Linked DNA regions of Schizosaccharomyces pombe. The main gene of each other region encodes a partner of the protein of the gene in region 2 in a complex. Each region holds a gene or a part of one and is shown on either strand. Other genes may lie near its edges.

Region 1 (13,654 bases), on a different chromosome or scaffold from region 2:
TTTCAAATTTTATTAAATCTTCTTTGTTTTCTTTCTCTTTTGTACGAAGTGATCATCGAAAAGATAGAGAACATCGGGGTTTCCATTTATGGGCGATAATGTATTTTTAGAGCCTGATCCATGGGCATCTAGCAGTAATTGGGGTTCACCAGTGAAGCCTTTAAATTATAAAACAGCAATTGGTTAGTAAAAGTTTTGTTCTTCTGTTTTTTCCTTCTCAATTAATAGTTAATTTTACGGATCGATGCATTCTATCATTGATTTGTTTCTTTAGCTTGATTTTTTTTTTTTTCATCTTTCTTGCTTTTTTACTTACTTACTGTAATGATGCTAACCTTTTTCTTTTTCTTTTTTTTGTCTATAGGTAATTCATCCATTCCTTTGCAATATCGAAATTATTGGGACGTGTTTCAAGCAAACAATGTTCTCTTATTTCCAGAAGAAGAAAGTTATTCTGATATATTTCATGTTCCTCAAGATGTAATGAAAGAGTTCTTTACCTTGATTGAATCATCAAGCAATCAACCCTTACGGCAAATTCAGTTTTTCGTTTTGCTTGCCTTGGTTGCCTGTTATCAATTAGGTGTTCCTAGCACATTGGAACAGATTTTCAAGCAAAGAAATGGTAAGGCTTTTTTTTATCTTTGCTTTTTTTTGTCTTTTTGCTTACTTCCTCCTCCTTAGTCCTGCCCATTTTGCAGCGTTTTAATCCGGAACTTTTCAATCGTAGTTCTGATAATGAAACCCCTCTTTTTCCTAATAATTCTCCTCCTGCTTCAACAACCGCCTTGAATCTTTCATCCAACATTGTCCCTTCCATTAATGAATCAAAAATTTTAGAACAAGAGGATGACGACGTCTCCAATAAATCCCTCCCTCACGCTCAGCAAAGCATCATCCGTTCGTTTCCTGATATTCAAAAGCAGCCGAAAGGATTCTTTTCCTATCCTTCTTCAACTGTCAGCAGCATTGCACCTTCGACTTTAGAAGCAGGTAACTTACATTCGCAACAACCTCCAAAATTTTCCGTTGATTCTTCTGTCGATGATAATGCTATTACCCCTAGAAAGCCCTTTTCGAAGATTCCTAATCGCCTTTCCCCTTCCACTCAGCCGTTACTGTCAAACAGTAGACATAGTTCGTTTAGATTGGCTTCCAGTTCAACTTCATTTCCCGCTAGTTTGGAAATGAATGTTGACATTGACCTTGAGCCTAGTGGTTACTTTTTCTATCGCCATAATAATTATATTATATCTGATTCTTCTAACACTCGTGAAGTTCTTCGTCGATACAGTGATTTCTTTTGGTAAGCTCTCCGAATTGTTTGGATATCTTTTCCATACAGTTATTTTCCTTTTCTCTTTCTTTCTTCTAACTAGTTCGAAAGGCTACATTCTTACTTGATGAAAAAATATCCTTTTAGAAGAGTACCATTAATACGTAAGAGTTTTTTTAGTTTTTTTTTTTTTTTCAATTTACGGCTTTTAACTTACTAATTCTTTTAGCGCTAAAGAAATTTCACTGTATGCATAGTTAATCATCCTTTTCAATCCCAACAATGCTAATATATGTCAGTTGCGAAGCGAAATGCTTCAACTCAAAACAGTTTTTTAGAACACCGCCGCCAGGATTGTCCGACTTTGTAAATGACTTATCTCATCATCCTATTTTCTCCAATGATGAGGTTGTCCGAGTATTTTTTACAGAGCCAAATGTAAGTTTTATTCCTTATAGATTTAACTAATTGCTCTCATGAATTTAGGTCTTCAAAAATTGGAGAAGGGAAAATCAGAAAAGAATTGACCAAGAAATTGAACAATTCCTAGTGGTACCTCAAAGTCAAGTTCCCGATGCCTCAGAAACGGTTAAAGAAAGGCTTTTAAAATTGAATATGTCTACTACTACGGCGATAAATAACCAGCTCAACATCTTCAGGATCTTTGAGAAAATGATTTTTACGTTACAGCATTTTCATGAAGATTTTCTGAGACTGCAAAATTCTTTCAAGTAAGTATTCAAGTTGGTCACGTTTTGCTAATCCTTTTCTTAGTTGCTTACTTGATAGTGGATTGTACCATCAAGTGTTTACTTCTACGTTTGCTCAAAATGAAAGCAAAATTATGTCAATGGCAAGTGGTCACTTTTATAACATTGATTCTCTCCTGCATCAACAAAACGACGCTGTCAAACATACATTTTTACTTGGCCTATCAAAGGAAATTAAAATTCTAATATCACTGCGAGTAAGTAGTATAATCATTATTTTTTTTCTAATACCTTAGCTTTTAATTGAAAGAATATCGGAAGTATTTTCTACCGATTTAACGAAAGTACGGCATACAATATCGAATGATGAGAATTTACTTCGTGAAACAGCAAATAGCGACGAAAGTGGAAGAAATCGAACATTTTTGAACCGAAGTTCTAAGAAGAGAGCTGAAAATAGTCTTAAAAGTGTATGCATGAATCAATATACTTTTCACTTTGGAATTTGTTTTAACGAATATTTAGAAGAAAGAGCTTTACTTGAAAAATTTAAATCAAAGGTACCAAATAGCACATGAACTCGAACAGGAACTTTCCTATTTGCAAGACTATGTATTTAGTCTGGGAAATCCTTATGTTGAATATTGCAAACAGCATGTTAAACTCGAAGAGGAGAGTCTAAAAATATGGCATACATTGGAAAGTGATTTTTCTCGGCTTGAAACTTGATTATAAAATTGTTTGCTAATTGCGTTATGTTTATCTAGAACATATTTAGATAATACGTATGTAGAGAACATTTAATTTAAAGGTAATATTGCACGATGCTTAAATTATGTACACGTGCCAGAATCTACTACAAAACAACTATAAATATACTCTTAAACTTGAATGTTTACGAACGAATAACAATCAATTAATCGGTATGTAAGGAAAACCAAATTTTTCGGTAAACCCAATGAATAAAGCAAGACAACAAATATCATGCATTAATCAAACAGGCGAATCACAAAAATGTCTCATCAAATCCAATTTAAAGGGAAGAAATATCACGTCCAAATAACTTAACTCTAATCCAATCTAGTGTAACATTGGTACGGTTACGCAAGGAGTATAATTCAGAAAGGTAAACCGAACGCCAGAAGTAGAAGGCAAGAGCACCGCTTGCATGGAGTTGTTTTCCAAACCAGGGAACTTCAATATCGGCAATAGCTTTCTCATGACCGACATAGGCGAGAGAACCTTGGTGAGAGTATTTGAAGGGAAGGAAGACCTTGGTAGAGGCATGCTTCTCATTTGCTAAAGAGATAAGTGTGCTGGAATCCATTTCATCACCGAGGGCAATGTGTCTATCTTCGCTAGGCTTCTCAAAGTTCAACGATCCAAGTTTGTTAAAAAGTTGACCGAGGTAGGCACCTTGCTGTGAAGCCACTTGAGCAGTGGGAGCATAAGCGGTGTGAGTGCAATCACCTAGAGCGAAAATGTCCTTGTAACCCTTCAATTTTAAGTATTCATCGACTACTAAACCACGTCTGTTATTTTGCTCTTCACTACCCTCCATGAGCTTTTTGGTAAGAGGGCGGGCACGGTTACCACCAGCCCAGACCAATAATCCGTAAGGGATAACCTCTTCTTGCTTACTTCCATCAGGGTTTTTAACTTCAACATGGATATTTTCAGCAGTGACCTTTTTTAGGGCAGTATTAGTTCTGATCTTAATATGGCTGCTGTCAAATAAGCTTTGGGTATAATCACGTAACTTGGCGCTAAACATGGGCAAAACAGAAGGTAAAGCTTCGACAAGAGTAACGGCAAAGTCATCAGCAAGTTCAGGATACCAGGATTTCAGATCATCTTCAATGAAATCAGCCATTTCACCGGCAAATTCCATACCAGTAGGACCACCGCCAACTACGACAGTATGTACATATCTGCGACGAGTTTCAGCAGGAAGATCCTTAAACTGTGCTTGTTCGAGGCAATGAAGGATACGAGCGCGAATCTTTTGGGCATCCCAAATTTCCTTCAAGAAACAGCCATACTCGGCGATACCGGGAATGTTGAAGGTTTGTGTTTCAGCACCGTGAGAGCAAACAAGATAATCATACTTGATTTCCTGCTCTAAATCGACTCCATCAGTGGTGGTTTTCTTGATATGGATGACCTTTTTGTCGGCATCGACGTCTGTACATTCAGCCTCGTAAAATTTAACATAGCAGGACTTATGACGGAGCATATAACGAATGGGCTGTACAATGCTTCGAGTATGAACGGAACCAGTGGCAGTAGAAGGCAAAAGAGAAGTGAACAAGAAATAGTTTCTAGGGGAAACAACGATAACGTTAAAGAGAGAAGTATCAATAGTACGAAGAATAGAAGTGGCACCCCAACCAGCACCAAGGACGACCAAAGTCTTTTTGGAAGGATCGGGCAAAGGTTGATGAGGATCAGGATGACGGAAACGGTAGACATTGGCACCATAAAGAACAACAGCCGTAGCGAAAAGACCTAATGTAGTACGTTTCAGGATCTTCCACTTACTTGTGGTGCTCTTGGGAGAAGAAGCAGCATCGGAAGCAAAGCGCACGCTGTTTGCAAGGCGAAGATTGCGAGAAGCCGATAAAGCTAAGGGAGATTTTGGAATGCCAGCCTTTGGCATTCCTCGGAGAATAGACCGAGAAAAAAGCATACTAACAAGCAACTACTAGAAAACTTCGAGAGAAACAAAAAAAGATGCTAACTTATTATGTGATAAAAATACACAAAGAAGAGGGGAGAGAGAGGGGGGTAATAAGTTATCCACAAACACAATCAAGGAAAGTTAAAAAAATTGTGGATATCAACTGTTTGCTTGAAAAGCCTTAAGAGGGGAGATTTTTAAAAGATGAAGAAATGGGTCTTTATTTTAACAACAAAGAAAATATATCAGGGGTAAAATAATATTCGGTCAGTTGAAGAAATGGATAGGATCAACAGAGGCCGCAAAGACTGAATAATTAAGTTGAGTTGGGAGGGGGTGGTTAAAGTGACTCCGAAGAGAAGCAAACTACAAAGAAAAAGAAAAAAAAATATAATAAACCAAGTACAACACTTACGGCGTACTCAGCTATGTAAGTGTGCTCCTTTTATACACTCGACGATTGCGCAGATAAGCGTCGATTTAATAAAACGTATTTTCCAAAGGCTGATATGATATCCTTGTAGGTAATCAATCAGTACAGCCAAATGGTAAAAAATGAGCGGTAGGTGTAATGGTAGTTGTCAAAGTCGGACAGGGTATTTTAACGACAATTTAATACACGAGCGAGACTATTTTGATAAATTGTACGGGCGGATCCGTTTGCGGACTTTTAATGATGACTCCCGTAACGCTGACGACATGTATCTGCACAGCGATTCATGGCCCGCCTCTGTGAAAGAGGGAGCGACCATTCAGCGATTCCAGCCGCGTCCGCTACAACATACCGGACATTGTTGTTTCTTGACTTCGATTAGCAATGTAAATAAATAGAGACGCTCAAAAACACCTACAAAACCGATAGTTTCAAAAACTCATATACAGTTGCTTCACCTCAAAAAAGGTTCTACCTTTAGTCATGGTCACAGGGGATTGTGGGGTGCAACTTTTTCACAAACTCTATGCATGCGCAGCGGCGTAACCGAAAATTCCCTCATTGCATCTAGAGGAGCCATGTCATTATAAAGAGACGTATAACGTGATCTAACACCAAGCTCGCAAAATCTGACAGCAAAAAATACCAACCGCGTTATCTAATAATACAGTAATACACTTTAGACAACGTTAATGAAGACAGGACGCGCGCGCATCGCTTTTGATTTGTGTTTAGTCTGTTAGAAGCATGCTGGGGTAGATGTGTAGGTGAGAAGCTAGGTTATATAATCAAAGAAGATCAAGCAAACTAGAATCAATGGTAAATTCCTTCTCGTTTTAACTATGTCACTCCATTCTTATGAGGGAATTCGTGACGGACAAAACAGAAGATACCGTTTATTTGCTTTCACCTAGAACTGATCAAGAAGCTTAGAGAATCAATAACGCTAAATGTCCCAATTTCCTACGCCAAATACTTCAACTTATTCAATTTATTGCTTACATAGGAGTGTTTTGATGTTGGTTCTGAATACATCCAAACAAACACGTGTTTCAGCTACATCTACATCAAGTAACACACACATCACTGTCACTTAGAGATGTAAATAATGAATAATATAAGAGGTGTTTATGGGCAGGAAAACCAAAATAGAATACCTTGGGCTTTACAAAATTAATTAGATTTATTAAATTTTTACTTTAGATTTTGTAAATAAAGGTGTTCTATAAGTGTGATAAGCAGCACCACATTCCATCCATGTTAATCCTTACATTGGAAAATGCGGTACTTAGCGCGAACACTTTCGTAGAAGGCAAAAATGCAAGGTACAATTTTAGAATGAACTTTGGAATTGTTCCTTTTCCAAACTGATTGGAGAGCAGTGCAGACTTCCTTGAATTGGTTTCCAGATTTCAATAGCATTACTTGACACGGACAGGTAAAGAGGTGTGTGTATGAACGACATATGAGAATAGAGAAAAAAAATCCACTGGAGATTCACCAGCAAATAACAAAAAGGATGGAAAAAGAATAAACATATAACCAGAAAAATTAAATTAAATCAATTAAAAAACAAATGCATACTCTATTAGGTGACATATGTATAAATATCATTATCCTCGCGTTCTAGATACTCTTTCTCTAGTAGTTTTTCAATGGCAGTTTTCACATCAGACACCAAGGGTATTCCCCGATCCTTAACATTGTTTATAACGTATTGAACTAAATCGTCATGCTTCATTTTTTCCTTTTGTTTCATTACTCGAACGATACTGGCTTGCAACTCAAACTGTCGATCTCTCACTACTTGTTCTTGAACATCAGAATTTTCTTGCCGCTCTTCCTTTAAATAAATTTGGTTAATTTTTACACGATATAACTTATCTGTAAACTTTTCATTAACATAAAACATGGTGTCTGGACTGGGTTTTTTGCTTTTGGGAACCATCACTAATGGCCGAATGCGAGCACAACTCAAGGACTGTAATGTACGAGTCAAATCGATATCAGAGAGCTCTGTAGATTTTTTCAAATCTTGATACGAAATCCCTTCTCCACCCAAACAATTGTTGAATTGAAGTAAGACACAGGCTTGGAAAAGCGATATACTTAGTTCCTTATTGCCCAGTGGAAATCGGGCTTTTACGATGCAATGTCCTAGCGAAGCGTACCAACTGATTTTTTTCCCAACCTGCTTTGAAAGGTAAAATTTTTCAAAACAATCCAAATCCTGTTGCATATCATCTGGAAGCCGGATATGTGATTCTGGATAAGAGGGCCAGTAAGCTTGGGACAAGACGTTAACATACAAATCTCTATGAAGGTTATGAGCAGCCTTTGAGTGACGAAAAGAAGAAGTAAATTCTTTTGAAATGTTAACGTCTCGAAACATACCCTCCAAAGAGTGAGTAAACTGACTACCGCAGGTTTTCTTAAGCATATCCAGAAGCATTAATTCATTTTGCGCACTTGCAGATTTATTAAGGAGAAGCCGTTTTGCAATGTCCAGCTTGTAATACGCCTCAAAGATATCTTTACTAGCGATGTAGCGGAAAAGATCCAAAATTTCCGAAAATACTTCTTTCAGAGGCTTACCCCCTGAAGCCTGTTCGCCAACTCGTAGCAAATAATCAATGTATTTTGCAATAAGCCTAGCTGGAGCTTCTCTTTGAGATCCCTTTGCCCCATTAATGAACGTCTCGAAGGCTTTTCGCATGGCATACGAAAGGGTTTCATCATGAAGGAAACTTTCATCCACCACGACTTGTAAGAATTTGTGGAACGATAACAGCTCTTGAACCAAAGTATCATCCTTTGATTCATCGTTAACGAGCTTGAAACCAACGTCCACTAAGCAATCCGACCAGGGCTGAATTAAATATTCGGTTTCATGATTGAATTGCAGTAATGCATACAGTAGTTTACAAGAATGGGCATCCCTTTTTTCAATGAACTGACTTATACCCTTTGTGAGTGTGTCAAGATGTGAAGTAATTAGACACCTTTGAACAGTCTCTCGAATGGACTTTTTATCGCGCACAATATCAAACTTTTCAACGTAGGCATCCTCCCGCTCAAGCGAACTCATCGCATATTCCAAGTACTCTTCCAAAGGCAGCTCTTGAATTTTTTGGCTAGACTCCGTATCATAAAAACGGCTTAGCATAACTAAGTACATGGGAACAAACACAGAGCTATACATTTCCGTGCGATGTAGCATTAACATCGCATCCTGTAAATAGGCGTGATCAGTGCTTTTAGAGCTATGTAAATTTTCAAAGCTTTGGAGAAGAGAGTTCAAAAAGGGAATTTGTATGTTTTTGACTGCCATCAACTTTTCACGAAAAAGTGACAGAGACAGCTCTTCGATTGTCGGGTAATCTGGATGGTGAGAAAGAAATGTTTTGTCCATGTAATAGAATATGTTTTGAACAATCTCGACTCTTTCCAACCATTTGTTCCAACACCCTACTACTACGGTGCATGCATTAGTGTCTGTTTCAGTCCCTTCAAGCTGTATAAAAGACTCCGCAGAATCCTTTAAAAGCTGGATTCCTGAAGACATATGATGTTGTAGGATGTTAAAGCACCGAGATGCTTGATCCGCTCTTGTTAAATTTTCGACTCCCGAATATAACTCTTGGTAACCTGTTTTTAAGCCTAAACCGGCCATCACTACTTGCAAAGCCATGTTCAAACGATCTATCATCGTCACATAGTAGGTCTCTTGTCTTTGCCTCGACTTTCGTGGGTCAAAGCCTTTAACCACGATACGTTTTGCTTCTGGAGGCATAGGTGTGCTAATGTGAAATAAAAAGTAATAAATAGATGTGTGGAAAGCCTGAGCTCTTTCACTACTATAGTTTCACCTGCAAAAACCAATTTTGTGCTCAAGTAGTGACGTTCAGAAAAGTCGGTTTAGAGCAGCACATATAGACAAGGTACGAAGTTCCTATTTCACTTTCAAGCTATTTTTTTGTGTCCATCTCACTAAATAAGCCTTTTTTTTCACTTTAGAAATTCTTCAGTTTTTTAGAGATTTTCAAGCTGCGACTCATTGCAATTAGCTAACTATTGTTTTCCATGTTTATCCTCCACTATCCACAACGAACGCCAGTTGTTGAAACAATTGGGTGCTTGAGTAAACTATTAGCTTCTCTATAGTTTCTATAAAGTTTTTTATTTGTCTTTTTGTTTATATAGGTTTGAAATTACAAGGTCAGGTTGACTTGGAAAGAGAATGGCATGGAGTCAAGTCGAGATTTCCAAACCACATCTAGCATATGCTATTATAGGAGGATTTACTTCATTATTTATGTTATGTTCTTTAATTATTAAGGAAAAGCTTTTTTTGGGCGAAGCAAGTAAGTTATTAGTGGTTGCAAAGCACAATTGTTTGATTTGCGTGTTGAAACGATACTTGAATTGTTTGATTTAGCTGGTAGTAATTCCAGATTATTCTTTCGGTTTACGTTCGTTAAATAAAGAGCGATCTCTAGATATTTCAGTGTGCATATTCCACCATATTATTTTTACTCTTCAATTCTTCATATATGTGAAGCATACTAACTTAATATAGCTATGGCAACTGCTACGGGTCTCATTTTTGGTCCTTACGTTGCAAAACTGTTTGTTCCCACCAGCTGGGGTAATACCGACTACATCACCGAGGAACTTGCTCGAGTCCTTTTAGTTGTCGAAGTTTTTGCAGCTGGCGCTGAACTTCCAAGAGCATATATGCTTCGACATTGGCGCAGTATGTTTGTTATGCTTTTGCCTGTTATGATTTTTGGATGGCTAGTAAGTACTGGCTTCATGTATGCTTTAATTCCCAGACTCTCTTTTCTGGAGTCATTAGCTATAGCGGCATGTATTACTGCGACAGATCCAGTGTTGGCTTCTTCTATTGTCGGTAAAGGTAAATTTGCACGTCGAGTCCCAGGTCATCTTAGGAACATGCTTTTGGCCGAATCTGGATGTAATGATGGCATGGCAATTCCTTTTCTGTATTTAGCTATTTATTTAATTATTGAGAAACCTGCCCGACATGCTGGCCGCGATTGGGTATGTATCATTATTTTATACGAATGCACCTTTGGCTGTGTGCTAGGTGCAATAATAGGTGTAATAGCCCGTAAGATGATTAAATTTTCGGAACGTCGAGGATTAATGGATCGTGAAAGTTTTCTTGTATTCTACTTCGTTTTAGCACTATTTTGTGGTGGTATTGGTACCATCATTGGTGTCGATGATTTGTTAGTTTCTTTTTGTGCTGGTGCTGCTTTCTCTTGGGACTCATGGTTTTCGAAAAAAACAGAAGAATCTCATGTTTCCAACGTTATCGACCTTCTTCTCAATCTTTCCTTTTTTGTATACGTGGGTGCTATCATGCCCTGGCCTCAATTTCACATGCCACATATGGATTTGAGTGTATGGCGACTCGTTGTATTGGCTATATGTATTTTAATTGCAAGGAGAATTCCTGCCGTTTTATTATTTAAATCATTTGTTCCTGATATTATCAATTGGCGAGAAGCTCTCTTTGCTGGTCATTTTGGTCCTATTGGTGTAGGTGCACTGTATACTTGTTTGGTTGCACGAGCCGAATTAGAAGTACATAGCACTGTACCTGAGCCTAATGATGCTATCGAAAACCCTGAAATTCCAAACTGGTATTGCATACAAGTAATGTGGCCAGTAGTTTGTTTCCTGGTTCTAAGTTCTATCATTGTTCATGGAAGCAGTATTGCATTTTTCATGCTTGGTAAAAGGATTAATACGTTGGCTTTGTCGTTTACGAGAACAAGGGACTCTCATTTTGCTTTTAACTTACCTCGTGTTCGTCAAGGACAAAGCTTACCAATTAAAAGAGTTGATGCGTTGCGCTCCTCTGCCAACTCTATTGCTTCTTCCATAAGAAGGCGTCATCCTGTAAACATTCAAGAAGATGAGGATGCTGATATATCAACTGTCTCGCTTCCTGAAGCCGCACATCTACGGGAAGAACGTGCTGAATCACCACGCGGAGGCCACTATGACGCTGAAGAATTTCCTTCTGAAGACTATGAATCTCGGCAACCTCGCCGCTCGAATGAGGAAGATAGAGAAGAAGAAATGAATCCTGGTGACGAGACATATCTTATTGGCGAAGACTTGGTCGTTGAAGATTCTCAAGGAAACATTATTTCGCATACCAGTTCTCGAGATGCAAATGGACCTTCAATTGATGAAAAACTCGCTCAAGGGGATCCGAAGGCAAAAAGTTTTGGTCGCAAGTTTCGCAGTTTCTTACGACGTTCCTATGATACTTTTCAACGTAATTTACATGAGCCGGACGACGAAAGACAAAGGGAACCCACTCTTGGACATATTGAGAGTTCTATTGAGAATCATAGGCCTAGATACTCAAGGCAAAATTCGGAATCTCATTTGCGTGAAAATAGTGTAGAACGCCGTCGTCGTGAACAAGTTCTTACTAATATTGGGGACAGTGAAAGTGAGGATGATAACATACCCAGGCCTGGTATAGTTCCATTTTACAACGAGAACAATGAAAGCAGTAGTGATACGAGAAATGGACTCTTATCTGACAATGTTTCCGAATCGCGCAGTCGTCGACCATCGCGTGCTCCTTCTGCCGCAGTTAGCAGTGAGGGTTCTCCGGTTGAAGAAGATAATGAAGCTCAGCATAGGCCAAATATTCGATTTTTGGAACTTACCCGTGCCTGGGAATAATAACCGTAGGAGGTCACATTCTTCATATCGAAGGGGATCGTTTAATGCTTATTCATAACTGATTTTCAAAAGTGTGTTATTTTTTATTTATTAAAAAAATATGTTTGCTAATGCAGTGGTTTCTTTTATTTATTTGATGATTGAAGGGTCTATGGGTGCTGTTAAAATCAAATTTCATCAGTCTTTTATCGAGTTTTTCTATGTCTCGCATTTGCCAATTAATGAACACATATCGGATAACTAACTCTCCTTTTTCTTTTTTATATTATTGGACACATGCGTAAAAATTATACTGTGGAAAATAATCTCAAAGCAAACAAAAATTTATTACATTAACTAAGAGAGCTAGTTAACTAATAGTAAAATAATCGATCCATCAAGGGGCATAAAAGAGTAAGCAATAGGCATGGTTTGTCGTTAATCGTAAGAAATTCATAACCGGCAAAATGGAATAATACAGTAAATTTTTCCAAAAATAAAATAAAGAGGTAGAGGTAGACTTATTAATAAACGATTAAGTTTAAAAGTCGTCTTCCCACTCCAAAGGTGGCTCATGAATTGAATGCCCGAGATCTTCAGTGGTCTTCCAAACACGAAGCACATTACGGCCTGCAATATCTGCTAATTCAGTGATACTGAGACCACGCTCAGCCAATTTAACAAAAAGATCAGGATACTTGGAAACATCCTCGAGTCCCTTGGGCACCATATCAATTCCATCGAAATCACCACCCAAGCCAATATGACGATACGATCCAGTTACATTGGCAATATGCATTATATGCTCAACGACGGTATCAATTGTAGCATTTTCAGGGTGTGGACTAATGAATGCAGGGTAAAAATTCACCATAACAACGCCATCAGTTTCCTTGACGCGAATCAGAACATCGTCAGGAACATTTCTGGGATGATCATAAACCCCTTTAGCGGAACTATGTGAGAAAAATGCGGGAGCAACTGATACATCTAAGGCTTGATGCATGGTCTCAGGTGTGGTGTGTGAAAGATCTACAATCATACCAAGACGATTCATTTCACGGACAATATCGCGGCCCGCAGGAGACAATCCTTTGTTAGTACGCTTTCCGTCAACCGCAGCATCGGCGAATACGTTGTCACAATTGTGCGCAAGAGTAGCATAGCGAACGCCAAGATCGTAGAATTGGCGTAAAATGGATGGGCTTCCTGCAATCTGGTGAAGACCTTCAATGCCCATCATACTTGAAATGTGATTGCGTAAAAAGTCGAATTTGACCTTACCGCTATGATCAGTCAAAGAGAATGTTTTAGGGTAGTATAGAGCCATCCTTTTAACAACATCGATTTGTTGAAGAGTCTGTGTAACAGCTTCATATTCACCTGTGCGATTCCACGAAAGAGAACTATTGGAATCCAAGCTAGGACATTCGACAAATACAGACCAGAATTGACCCCCTACATGTCCTTGACGAAGACGAAAAATGTCAGTTTGTCCAGGAAGGTGCTCAAGCGAAATATTTAGAAGGCGATTATCATAATTTTCACGAAGATATATTGGAAGATCATTATGCCCATCAATTAAAGGAAAATGAGTTAGTACAAAGTGAGCCTTTCGTTCAGGAGTCCAAATCCATTTGCCTTTGCCTAAATAGCCAACCGCACTCAGAATCAAAGCCGCAATTAAAAGATGAACCTTTAAAATTCGTCTTCTACGAGGTTTTTGTTGGTTTACAGGTAATGGAAGCTCCAATTTGCTATCGGAAACCATCTTGTTCAAAAATGATTACTTGTGCGGCAATTGTTAAGATGTGTGGAAATGTCACGTCGGTTATATATGC
Region 2 (12,898 bases):
CTATATGACTTACCTTGATTATTGGACGGTACGTTGAGGAGTTCCTCGTCGACTTCTTCATTTTCTTCGGCAACGGCGGAATGCAAGTCGTAATGTTTATCTTCAACGCTACAGGATAAGCTTTTGTTAGGATCTGCATCCTTATCACGAGCTCGGCTAGATGTGTTTCCATTATCCAATTGTCCAAAAGCAACCGAATTATCACGAAAAACAGAAGGTCGATGGGAACTCCTTGAATGGAAACGAGTTCCAAGTCGACGTCTTGCATGCTTGGGAGCAAAAACTTCTCGTAGAACTTCCTCTCGCAGTTTTCTGTTAATTAATGTGGTTCCCCATGGAGTTTTGGGCGGTATATCAGCCACGAAAGTAGGAGATACTGGCCGTTCTCCGGCTGAAGATGATTTATGGTGTAAAGATTTGGGGCTTCCATAAGAATGAGATCTTTTGTCGGGAAGCATCCATTCAGGAAAAATATGACGGTTTTGCTCAACACTAACCTCTGGAATGTATCCATAGTCTTTTTTCTGATAACAGCTGTTAAATGTGTGTTTATGGGGGGCAGGTGTTTTAGACGATGATTCTGTATTGACATATTCCGTAGTAGAATCGTTTTCTTCTGTTTTAGTAATAGTATGAGTCACATTTAAAACACCAATATACTTTGGGATAAAGGGAAGCAATTCTGGATGGCAAGCTTCAATAGTTTCATAAAACGTATTTTCATTTCTTGTAAGTGGTTTGCAAACGGCTCTTTTAGAAAACCGGAAGAAAGCCGTATGTCCACCGACTTGATGTTTGAAGGGTTCCAATCGTACAGTAACCGGATAATCAACATTCCAATGGAAAAAAGGATGGTCTTCAGGAGGAGATGATGAGACAGATGATACAGATGATCGCGGGGTGGATGCAGGACTTTGATAAGAACGGGATACCGACCTTTCAAGCTCAAACGAAGCATCAGGTAGTAAAGGGAGGTGTTGAGATGACTTTTTAGAAGGATTATGTGGTATGTAGGTGGCTGTGGTTTTAGAACTACCACTATCTTTTCTTCGTTTAGGAGCTGAGCTCCGACCACGAGATGATCTTCGACTTAGTGATGTATCTTTTTCGGAAATAACTTCATCTAAATCATGCTGAGCACCAACACTTGGTGATCCAGATTTGGAGAGCCTTTCAGAAACAGATTCAAGAGGACTCGACACGTTGTGCAAAGCAGTATTAGTACTGTTACCGGTTTCTAAGTTATTGGAGGTAGAAGACTCAAAGAGACGTAATGACCTGCTTGCCTTTCGAGACGGATGAGCAGAATGAGCACTTGCCATATCATCAGCTTCAGAAACGGCTGAAGACTGCAGCACCGGTACTGGTGATTCAGCAACTGAATAAGAGGAACCACCTAATTGCAAGTCAGCTAGACTCTTGTGAATTGAATCACTCATATATTCAACAGGGGTGTGTGTTCTCAAAGGGGTTTGTTCTTGTGAATTACTTCTTGTTAAAATTAAGCGAGGGACATCTTCCAAGCTCGTAGTTCGAGGGTCTACAGCAGATGAATAGTTACTTAGCCTTCTAGGCGATAAACTGTCTAATGACTTAGGACCTATGGATTCAGAATGCATAGTAAAATTATTGTTATCTTCTGATTCATCGTACAAGCATTTTAACGTTTCAGGACCTCGATCATGAAAATTCACGTCTCTGCCTTTACGTGAATTCGGCAGGTAACACTTTGGTGCGTTCTGCATAAATTCATAAGTTTATCTCTATTAAATTAATATTTTTCCTTAATTCCCCTTCAATTCCTCCAATTTGTCCGATTTTTATTAGTTTACCTTTCGCAGAGACCCGCTTTGGTTCTTGGCAAGTTTCTTACTTTGCTCTAGCTTACAGTATAATGAGGCGTATAGTGAAACTACTTAAATTCATTATTGTCAGCAATACTACACTACGCTATGATACACTACGTTGCGTATCACTATATGTCATATGTTGGAATACTAGCTAAGATCCGTTTATTGATAATCACGGGTAACTATCCGTCTATATACGTAGATACCCGTTGATAACAACTATTTAGAAATATTATAAATAGCGTTACAACTGAACTGAGGAACGAGGTTCAGTTATGAGCTATATTAGTGATAGGTAACATTATAACCCAGTTAATACAATACCTATACTCAGTTGCTACTTATACAACCTGCGTATTGTAATATAATAGATCACAAGGAAAACTCACCGCAGTTCTACGTATCCTTAAATCAGATACCAAACTGCGTAGCTTACAATTATTCTACTCTAAAGATCCACATAATAATACACCGTATCTGTCATTAAATTACGCATTGTGTCAGCTATGCAATCATTAAAACACTTAATGATACTTTAGAACTGCGGTGGGTTTTCCTAATATAAAAAATAATGTTAAATAAAATTCTGTTTTCTATACAATAATAAATATATCAAAATATTAAGAGATATCGTATAGTATTATATGTGCACTAAAATAGTTTACAATCAGCTGAGGAGTACAAATCAAACTTCATCAATATTTTTCTAATTAAAGAATAAGTACTTTAGAAGCAACGTATGTTCACGGCCGAAAGAAATGTTGGTAAAACACAATTATAGGTATAGTGATTGTTAACGTATCGTAAGTATAACGCACTAGACGTTAATTATATATTTGTGCAGTACAATGGATACCCTTCTCTTAAATTTCAGAAGCAGAGATCAGAAATTTAACACCAATGTTTACCTCAAAAATATGCCGTCTATAGTAATAGGCAATATTACTTCGAAGAGTATTGTTTTTGGGGAAAAGGAAAAAGCTAGCGATGCCGCCCGTACGTGCTGAAAAAAAGCGGAAAACTGATTTGATTGAACAAGTTTGCGTTACAAATAAAGCAGGGGAATTAGTAGATTTAGAGGACGTTCTAGAATATGGCCCTTATTCATTAACAGGAATTTTATCTTCTGAAAAGGATGAGCAAGAACCATTGTTTGATGAGAGCATTGTTCTGGGATACTCGATAAAAATATCGCCTGTTTGGACATACAATCTAAAAGACGTTCCTGAGAAAGAAACTATGAGCATATGGATCGTTACACCTCAAAGAAGATACGGAATTTTGTCTCCTTCTTCTGAGTATAAAGCCATTTACGAACAGATCAGCGAGAAGAATCGATTGTTTTACCTTATTAAGACAAAATTCAAAGATGATATGATATCTGGTACGTTAGAAGATTACGATAATTATATCGAAGTTTTAAAGGAAAAGCTAGAGCTTCCTTCTTGTTTTCAAGCAATTCTCTTAGTGCAAAAACATATTCGCTTTCTGTTAACCCAAATGGTTGCGACTTCTTCATTACATGTATGGTCTGAATCACCTTTTTTTATAAGAATTCGATCTTCATACGAACATCTGATTTTACAAATTAATAAAAACATTTACAATGCTCGTCAAGAGCGAAAGAAATCAAAGTTATCGTCAAACAATCCATCGGACAATAATACTACTATGAAAAGCTCTTTAAACCAAGCTCTTACTTTAATTAATTTACCCGAGCAACCGTTTAGCATTTCCTCTCCCACAGCAACACCACAACTAGGAGTTGTAAAAAGAACTTCTCCATTACGGTTTCCTTTGAATGATATTTGGCTTTCCGGTTTAAGGATTGTTGATCCAAATATTGAATCGATATCATTATGGAAAAGAATACAAGTTTCAACCTCTCCGAAGCATCAACGTTATATTAGCCTTCAAGAAGTTTGCAGCGTTATTGCTCAACAGCTACAAATAACAAATTTGGAAGCTTTGAATAAACTTTCTTCCCACGGCGAAACCCTTTTGCAAATTATGCATACTGCTTTCACGTGGAGAGGTACTAAGCTTTTTAATGATATTAAGCACGCAATTGGTTTTAGATCTTCTGTTCAACAAGCACGATCTCAATTCCGTGGATATTGTTATGATTATTTATTCATGCATTGTAACAATGGAGAAAAAACAAGTCTACATCTCTTGAGGACTCTAATATGCATGAAACTAGATTTCTCAAATGCTCAATTGGCGGCCAAGATATTATTTCATTTCTTGTTATTTGATATTGGATCAGGCCTTTCTGGCTCAGATTATACATATGAACAATACATTAATCACTCAGCTGTCGCTTTCAGTTTTACGGAGGAAATTTTTGAAAAAAATTTTGTTACAGTTCTTCCTGACTTTGTTAAACTTTTTTCTATTTCTTTTGGTTATTGGCCTGCATTCAGCTTCTATGATGAATTATTGAAATTACTTCGCAACAAATATCCCAAAGTATATTCATCAACTCCAAATTTATGCGATCAGGTATGGCTGGATCGAACAAATTTATTCCCTTGTAATAGGTCAACGAGGTCGACTTTACCGTATAGACCTACAAAACTGCTCGATTTAGCTTCCGCATCTTCCTGCTTATCCAAAAAGGAAACAGATTTTAAACAAGACACTGGATTATATTCATATAACTTGGAGAAAGTTGAGGCTTTAAAAGTTAGTCCGGATTTACAGACTGGTATTTGGTCATGTCCAGTACAAAATTGTTTGTATTTTGCTGTTTGTGACAACCCGTATAAACCTTCTCAGGTCATTTACGATCATCTTTTAGGACATGTAGATTCCAAGTTTATATTTAAAACTCCTTCGAACAGTGTCCGATCGTTTACAAATAAACTTGAACACATAATGTACAACATAAATTAATGATAGATATGATGATTTTTACTAGTAATTAACAAAAGACACACTGCATTAAAGTTAATATATAGTATGTTTATAAAGGATTACAATTTTACATGGCTAATGTCAAATACACTTTACTTTACAAATATCATGTGTTCATAAACAATTTCAAAAACACATTTTGTAACAACAATTTGATACGCTTATAAATGTGCCTATTAAAGTGTACAAATAGCTGAATTATTTGTCAAATGTAATATAGGACGATCAAACAAAATCAAACACCAACCCTTTACAATTGTAAAGTTAATGGCCGTTCAAAATACCAGAACCCATTTTTGATAATAACTGAGACCAAGCGATAAAATAAAAACAGAGGAATGTAAACGCCAAGAACTACTAAATGTTCATGCGTAAGGAAAACGAGCAAAAAACGAGTATTTATTTTAGAAAAGAGCAATACTATTAAAAAATTGTTCCAGAAAATACGGACCATACGCGACGATTACCCATCTTTTTGGTTTTGTAAACGTAAATAGAATCATCTAATCATGAATCAGTAGGAGCAAACATGAGTATGATGAGGCTCACTTCTTTGACATAAAAAAATTAATGTGATAGGATAATATCCTAAATTCGATCCCACTCATAGATAGAAGAAAGTGTAATTTCAACTCTAATACAAGAATGGAGCCAAAGTAAACAAAGGAATGTACAAATAGGCAAGATCCTGTGAAAGAAAAGTACCTGTAAAATAAGGATTTTATGATATAAAAGGACAAGGTTGACAAATTAAATCAAATCATAAAAAAATTAAAAAATAAAACAACATTTTCATTTTTTTTTAAGAAACACGCAGTATTTTGGCTTAATAAATCTTTTTCTTTTCATCAACGGAAAACTTGCCCGGTCCAGTGTTGACGAGATATAGGAGACCACCAACAATAGACAAGGTTTGGAAAAAGTCGTAACGATAAAAGTCACGATAGGGACTTTCACGAGGAACCGACCAGAAGCTGTTGATAATGAAATTGGCAACAGATAGAATAAGAACGAGGACTGCAGCGAAGAATTTAGCCTTAAAACCAATGACCACCATGGCACAGGCTGTAACAGACAAAATATGAACTAGAATTCGAGTCCAAGAAATCCCACTTCCTTCCTTAGCCAAAAGACCCAAAAACATAAAGATCAAAAGAACACGCCCAGCTAGTTGGAAATAAGTACGTTTATTGTGTTCGGAGACGGCCGGTAAACCTGCAAATCTATTGATACGACGATGAATAAAGGTGTCACTGGCAACAAGGCATAATCCACCGATCACGCTCATGTTACGAAAGAACATTTCACCACTGGTGATGAGCCCATATGCAAACGCTTGTAAAAGTGTAACAAACAAAAGAGAGCCGATGGCATATGCCTGACGCTTTTTAAACACGACCAATGTCGAACCAACCAACATCAGTACAACACAAACAAACAGCAGCAACGGAGCAGTCCCAAAACGAAATCTGCGGTAGTCCCGCATATAAGATACTTGTTCAGGCCATTGAGTAACGATCCGAATAGCGTCTTCGAAATAAGTAGCGACAATTAGGAATCGACCCAAGAGCGGCATATACGGAGTAAATGGTGCCATGAACGTTTCAGCTTGCTCCATAAACTGACATGCTCGCTCTGAAAATGTCTTTTTTCTGATACCCACAGTAGTCCTTGTTTGATATGAATCCTGGTTCATAGAAAGCGGGATTGTCGAAAACGGCGAACGTGAAGTCATCTTTTCAGCTCGTATTAATTCGGGGTTTTTTTGGTGTCTATAAATATTTAATCCTTAAACTTCAAATATCTCTTAGAAATAACTTGATAAGGCCAACTTCCAGTTTCCTCAATTCAACCTCTTGTATGGAGAAGCGCAAGTTTGTCTCTTCCTTTGTTGCTCCTTATGGCCTGTTGGCATGCAGTCGTCATCCAGGGCAAACCAGAATTTCCTAAAAGGACAGCATTACAATTTGATGAATTTGGGATAATTTAAATAATTCTATGATCCTTATTTTTTTTATTTTTATTGAGATTCCTGAATATTCTTCAACCTCTACACTGATTTTTTATTTTAAGGCTCGCTATTAAGCGCAAATTGGTTTAGTGTAGTCTAAGAAATTATTACCTCTTGCAGTGAGTTAAAGAATGGGATATTTAGGAGAGCCAAAGACTTATGAAAGCTGCTTTGTAATGATTTTTAAAGCTTGAAAATATAGGTTTAAATTTTAGAAACTATATTTGGATGGCGTTCGGATGTAGTTTGAAAATTAACATGAGTCGTTAATTGATCACATTTATTGATGAAAAGCAAAAATAAATTAATAAAAGGCCCCATTTCCATATCACAAATGAATACTTTCAAGTTAGTGTCATAATTAAATGAATTTAGTGGAAGTTAAGTTTTATGTGTGTGATATTTACACTTGACATTACAAAAGCTATTACTTTCTTAGCAAGAGTCGTTGTAATGAACATTTGTAAAAACTTTATACAAACAAAATTTTAAAGAAGGGTATCGTATATAGGTCAAATACGTGAGTTAAGTTCAAATCTCAATATAGTCATTTGACGGCGAAAACAAACTTATTATCCGTGGAAATTTTGGTAAATCCTTTATAGCAACATCAATGTGAATATTAGCTTATTATTAAATTTATTTTATTTTTATTTTTTTCTTATTTTTTTTGGCGGGATATTGTATTATTAAATAATCATAACAATTATAAGTGCACTTTTATTTTTATTTTAAGGCATTTAGAAAAGCCGACTGAACCCGCCGGAGTAGCAATTTTCACACATAAAAAAAAAAAAGATAAAAAAATTTATGAATTCGTCTTGTATTTAAATTAATGGTTCATCTTCTTAAAAAAAAACTTCATTATATGTGACAATGTAGTACAATTGCTGGAAGTGTGATTTGAGCAAATGCACATTAGCAATAAAGTGTAAAGTTACCGAAGCGAAGTCTTTTCGTTACAAAAATTGTTTAGTAGCATATAGCTGAAATAAAAAAAAAAAGACGAAAGCAGAAAGAGAAAATTACATATTTCTTGGGAAAATATAATTAAAATTTATTTTCACATCCTTACGAATTTTCGTTGCTTCGCCCGACTCTATGCCTACTTTTCAACATATGCTGAATAACTGATGATTTGACGACTAATTGGATGTTTTAATAAAACATATCTATGGTTTTTCTCTTCAGTATGATGACTTTACTTCAACTACTTACTCGCAATCTCTCGGCACTTTTTTGAAAAGCACAATAACAATCCTGTGTCTCGAAATTCCAGAAGGAAAACTATGTTTTCGATATTGCATATTTTAGTTGAAGCAAATCTTGCCACATCCATATTTGATGAGACACTACATGTTAAACCAAATGTTTCTTTGAATATCAAAGAACATTAAATTTAACATGTACATGCATGAAAGAACCATTCTTACTCTTCAATTCCATTCGCACACTATTGAATTACTTACCCACTGTAGACTAACTTATCACAGCTGAGTTTTCTACTCTTTCACCAACTACCTAGCTAATTTTCAACTACACACGACCTTTTTACAATTGTTGTCATAGCATGAAATCCTTTTTATTTATTACAAAACATAAACAGGGATTTTTTAGTGAGCCAAACGAGAGCTTTGGATGACAGAGGTAAGCTCTTCAATCTTTCCCTTGGCACGCTTAAGGGTACCGAGCTAAAAAGTTGTTAGAATAAGAATAAATTCAATAACAAAACATAATATCCCATTACAGTATTCATAGCTCCGAGTCTCAAAATACCACAAGTGAATTTGAGTATACTAAGCTTTGAAGCTCTCTACGAGCATGTACAGTAACAGAACAAAATTTTACATACCCTCTTCTTGGCCAATTTGCGGGCACGCTTGTCTTGGGAGTTACGGATCAATTCCATGACACGACGCTCATAGGGAGCGAATCCAGCAACCTCACGAACGATAGAACGGACAAAAGAAGTACGCTTGGACAATTGTCCCTTACGGCGAGAAGGACGCTCAGGAAGTTGACGCTTGGTCAAAACCTTTCCTTTGTTTAAACCAACAACCAGACCAGGTGCCATTGTGAGATTGGTGTAGGGGAAAACTTACTGCGCTATAGTACAGACTATCACTGCCCTTAACGAAAATAACGGTCACAAAACTCAACCCTAACCTACATCCCTTTAACCAAAAAAATCGCACGAAATAACGATTCCTACCTCTGTATGGCTTATCAATTTTTAGCGTAAGTAAAGGAGGCAATACTACAGGTTCTCATTGTATTGTAAACAATGGAAATTGCTTCCATCTGCGGGTTTCAAAGGGTAAAGTCGAGAACGGTTATTACATAGTACTGAAACACTACATAATAAAACGTATTATGCCATAAATTATAACGAACGGTTCGTTTTTTTTGAAATTAGAGTTGCCCCTACGAGTAAATGTATGTCATTCAGTCTCCCAGCAATGCCATGCCCTCGTACGCAGCAGACGAAAGGCTACAGACAAGAACATGGGTAATCCCTTGCACTCAAATTGATTAGTAATGTATTTTATAAGCAGCAATGAAACAGCAGTCATACAAATCCTTGAGCATCCCGAAATATCACAGTATCCACGCTCCTTCAATTCCCGCATTTTCTACCGTATTTAGAAATGACTGATAACGCATTCCACCGCATCTCGTAATATCTTTTCTTTAGAAGAGGTATTGTCTTTCTTTCATCGTTTTGCTGTCTATGATCTCAAGAATGGCGATTTTCAGAGATAGACGTTATGGGTGCTAATTGTGCCATGATCGTACTCATCTTGTAAATCCCTGACGGTGAGAAAACGAGTTCTCCGTTTCAGCAACATCGGTGGTGTATGAGATAATGGATAACCAGTCCCAACCAAATATTTACAGAACCCTCAGACGAATTCGCTGGAAAGTAACATTCCCATCATCAGAAGGAAGACTCCTCTTGTTATGAAAATTTCACTAGCAAGTGACATCGATAGCTCCTAGCGTTCCTTATTTCACATCCGAGAGATCCTTACTATATTAGTCGGGAACCCTTTACTGCTTGACATTTACCGCTCTTGAAACTCGTTACTAAACCGGATATACGGAAGCTTAACACGTTCGATATTAAACAATATCGTTTTTGAAGGGATCAACTTTATTATTGGCTTACATAACGTTATCTAGAGTGGAGTAACTCGTTATAGGGGTCAGCCAACACAAAGCGTGGGCCTTTGTATAACCTGTCCTTTGCCATGTTTCTGTTAAATTCATTAAGTAGGATTACTCGAGGGAATCGATCCAAAAGGCATCAAAACCTTTCAGATGCAAGTAGCTCTTCTGGTTCTTTCTCCAAGAAAAGTTCTACATCGCAATTGGTGCGTACGGGGTCGCCGAGTGTAGAGCCTACAGCTTTGTATTTGCAGCAGCCATTTGTTCGGACTCATTTGGTAAAGGGTAATTTTTCCACGATCGTTTCTTTGCCAAGGTTCGTGGACCTAGATGAATGGGTTGCTTTAAATGGTATGTTGCTTTGTTTTTTGCAGTTTCGCGTCAGCAGAAGAATGATGGAGGTATTGGTTACTGGACAAGTGTTTTTAAATTTGACCAAAGCACTGTCTTTATCATCATTTTCCTTTGAGGGAAGATTCTTGACGGATTACTTTGCTAGGTTTCTTTGAATTGCATGACATGAATAGGAGGAAATTGAAGTGAACGTTCGATGGTACTAGGAAATTATACTTTGAGATAATTAGAAACCCAGGAATCTAGCTTCAAATTTTAAAAACCATAAATTTCAATCTTTTTATTATTATTATTATTTTTGTTTTTTCATCGTTCAACAAAAATTTCTTCTTTTTTTCCGGATACGTAATCCGTTCTGTCAACAACTTGTCTTGTGCTAACCGTTACAACTCTTTGCTTTTCTTCACGTTTTTTTTTGTTTCTTTATATATTTTCTAACTCTTTTCATTTTAGTCTACGAGTTGTTTACTTACCTCAATCATTTTTACGACGTGTTTGCTACATTTTGCACTGTAAAGACTTGTCCTGTTATGAGTGCTGCAGCCAAGTATGTGATTCTCTAGTTAATTATTTTCTCACCTCTACCTTTACTAACTTACTCTTTTATTATAGTTTCGACTATACTTGGTTGGATAACAACCGTAAACCCGTCCATTTACCCGCTCCCCAATATATTGAATACGTACTCGCTTGGATTGAAAATAGATTGCATGATCAAAACGTCTTTCCTACAAAGGCAGGCTTGCCATTTCCTTCAAATTTTCTTGTTATTGTTAAAGCCATATATAAACAAATGTTTCGCATTTTTGCCCATATGTATTATGCTCATTATGCAGAAATCCTTCATCTCTCTTTAGAAGCCCACTGGAATTCATTCTTTGCTCACTTTATTGCTTTTGGTAAAGAGTTTCAACTGTTGGATAAACGTGACACTGCTCCGTTAAAAGATCTTATTGTTGTCTTAGAAAATCAAGGAAATATTTAATATTCTTGCCGAAGGCAGGACACACTTCTGTTTTCTACCATTTATCTCTTTTGTTTTCGTCCTTTCCTTTACCCCCTCTTCCCACAAATACCCTCTTCCCTCGAATCCTCTCTCTGCTACACAGGCAGTAAGTTATATGCTAAATTCCTACACTTCCTTTTGTTCGTTTTTCGTTACCACCTTCATTAGCTAATTACTATTTGTATTTCTTGATGCCATTTTCTTTATTTTTACATCCTATTCCTTTTGGACTCTTGGCATATTCGCTTGCATTCACTGATTTCACGGGAATTTTTAAACAGACTTTGGCCGTATTCCTTAGAAATTATCTTCAACGTCCGTTTAGTTTCTTAACTATATCTTGCATTTTATGTGACTCATTCCACATTATTCCTTGATAATTATAAGAGATCTTATCCTTCTCAACAAAAATAATCCGCTAATGCTCTCCTTTCCTATATCTAACCATCAACTTCTTTTTTTAAAGTCCACAGCCTTGCTCCCCTTCTTAACCTTGGACTTGACCGATAAGCAAATTAAAAAAAAGTAAAACTTGTTACAACTGAAATTTGTTTTTGTTTTAATGTCCACTTTTTTTATAGCAGCAATTTACTCAAATGAACTGAAGACGTTTCCAAATTCGACACTTTTAATTTTTCCCTTCAGTCTTTTGTTGGGTTATTGGGCTTACTGATAAATAATTCAAAAAATTGTTTGTGGACGAACAGTGATTATAATTATTTCCTAAATTGAACGTTACATTCTCAAAGGATCGAGTTATGGTCTGACTCTCTTTTTATACTTTACGATAATTCAATTTTTGGGCATACTAATGGATATCCTTTAAACTGAAATAAATCTCAATGTAAATTTTGTTTATTTCTCTTTTAAGATTGCATTGGCTTGATCCTTCACTAGACTAGACTGTGTACGTATCATTGCTAACTTCAATCCAAGCAGATAAAAAAGTCTCTAGCTTATTCGTAAACATATAGTCACGTCAAATAATTAACTACTTAAAACATGTGCCGTGTAGTAAGATAAATTGCAGTAGAGTGAGTCGATTGGCAACATAAAACGAAGAACATTATTGAAACGAGGGAAGGGAAATAATCAAAATTAAAATCTAAAAGACAAATACTTGATCCTCAAGCTTCGAAATGGCTCGGGACTTTTCATATCCCAATGCAACTGTAGCTTCTCTGAGTGAATTAACCATGGGAGTAGGGCCACAAATAAGAACTTTGGTTTCAGGAGAAGGAGCAGGGAAATGCGCCTTGATAAGTTCTTGAGTAACAAATCCAACACTTCCCTTCCAGTTTTCAGGAGGATTGTTCAAAACATAATGAACGGTAAAACGAGGATCCTTCTTAGCAAGTGCGTCAATCTCATCACGAAGAACAATATCACCCTCTGATACATTAGCATATAAAAGAGTGATTTCCGTTGGATCTTCAAAATTAGAAAGAACAGCACGAATGATTTGAAGCATAGGAGTAATACCTGTTCCGCCTGCGATCATGCCAAAATGGCGCGCGAGGCCAGTGCGATGCTTCCAATTTCCCTTAGGGCCACGAACACCGATGGTATCACCAATCTTAAGTTCAGAAA

The links.
Region 1: raf2 (region 2) and cul4 share a complex: the UniProt entries of both Schizosaccharomyces pombe proteins name them as parts of the clr4 methyltransferase complex.

Annotation. Positions count from the first base shown.
Region 1 is NC_003424.3:3,448,294-3,461,947, reverse strand, and holds cul4 (CLRC complex subunit, cullin 4), read right to left. Parts: upstream 9,004-13,654; 5' UTR 8,893-9,003; coding exon 6,688-8,892; 3' UTR 6,201-6,687; downstream 1-6,200. Other genes in the region: nde1 (NADH dehydrogenase), read right to left, coding at 3,020-4,675; dpe1 (dipeptidyl peptidase), read right to left, coding at 12,355-13,584. UniProt on the Schizosaccharomyces pombe protein: Required, indirectly, for activation of ribonucleotide reductase through the degradation of the protein spd1, thereby supplying deoxyribonucleotides for DNA replication and repair. Also has a role as a scaffold for assembling ubiquitin ligases.
Region 2 is NC_003421.2:498,022-510,919, forward strand, and holds raf2 (CLRC ubiquitin ligase complex subunit Raf2), read left to right. Parts: upstream 1-2,743; 5' UTR 2,744-2,837; coding exon 2,838-4,748; 3' UTR 4,749-4,859; downstream 4,860-12,898. Other genes in the region: kcs1 (inositol polyphosphate kinase), read right to left, coding at 1-1,745; erv29 (cargo receptor protein), read right to left, coding at 5,596-6,504; rpl3601 (60S ribosomal protein L36), read right to left, coding at 8,394-8,471, 8,633-8,854; protein kinase activator Mob2, read left to right, coding at 10,032-10,299, 10,756-10,849, 10,915-11,287; cbr1 (cytochrome b5 reductase), read right to left, coding at 12,414-12,898. UniProt on the Schizosaccharomyces pombe protein: Component of the Clr4 methyltransferase complex (ClrC) which contributes to the establishment of heterochromatin by specifically methylating histone H3 to form H3K9me.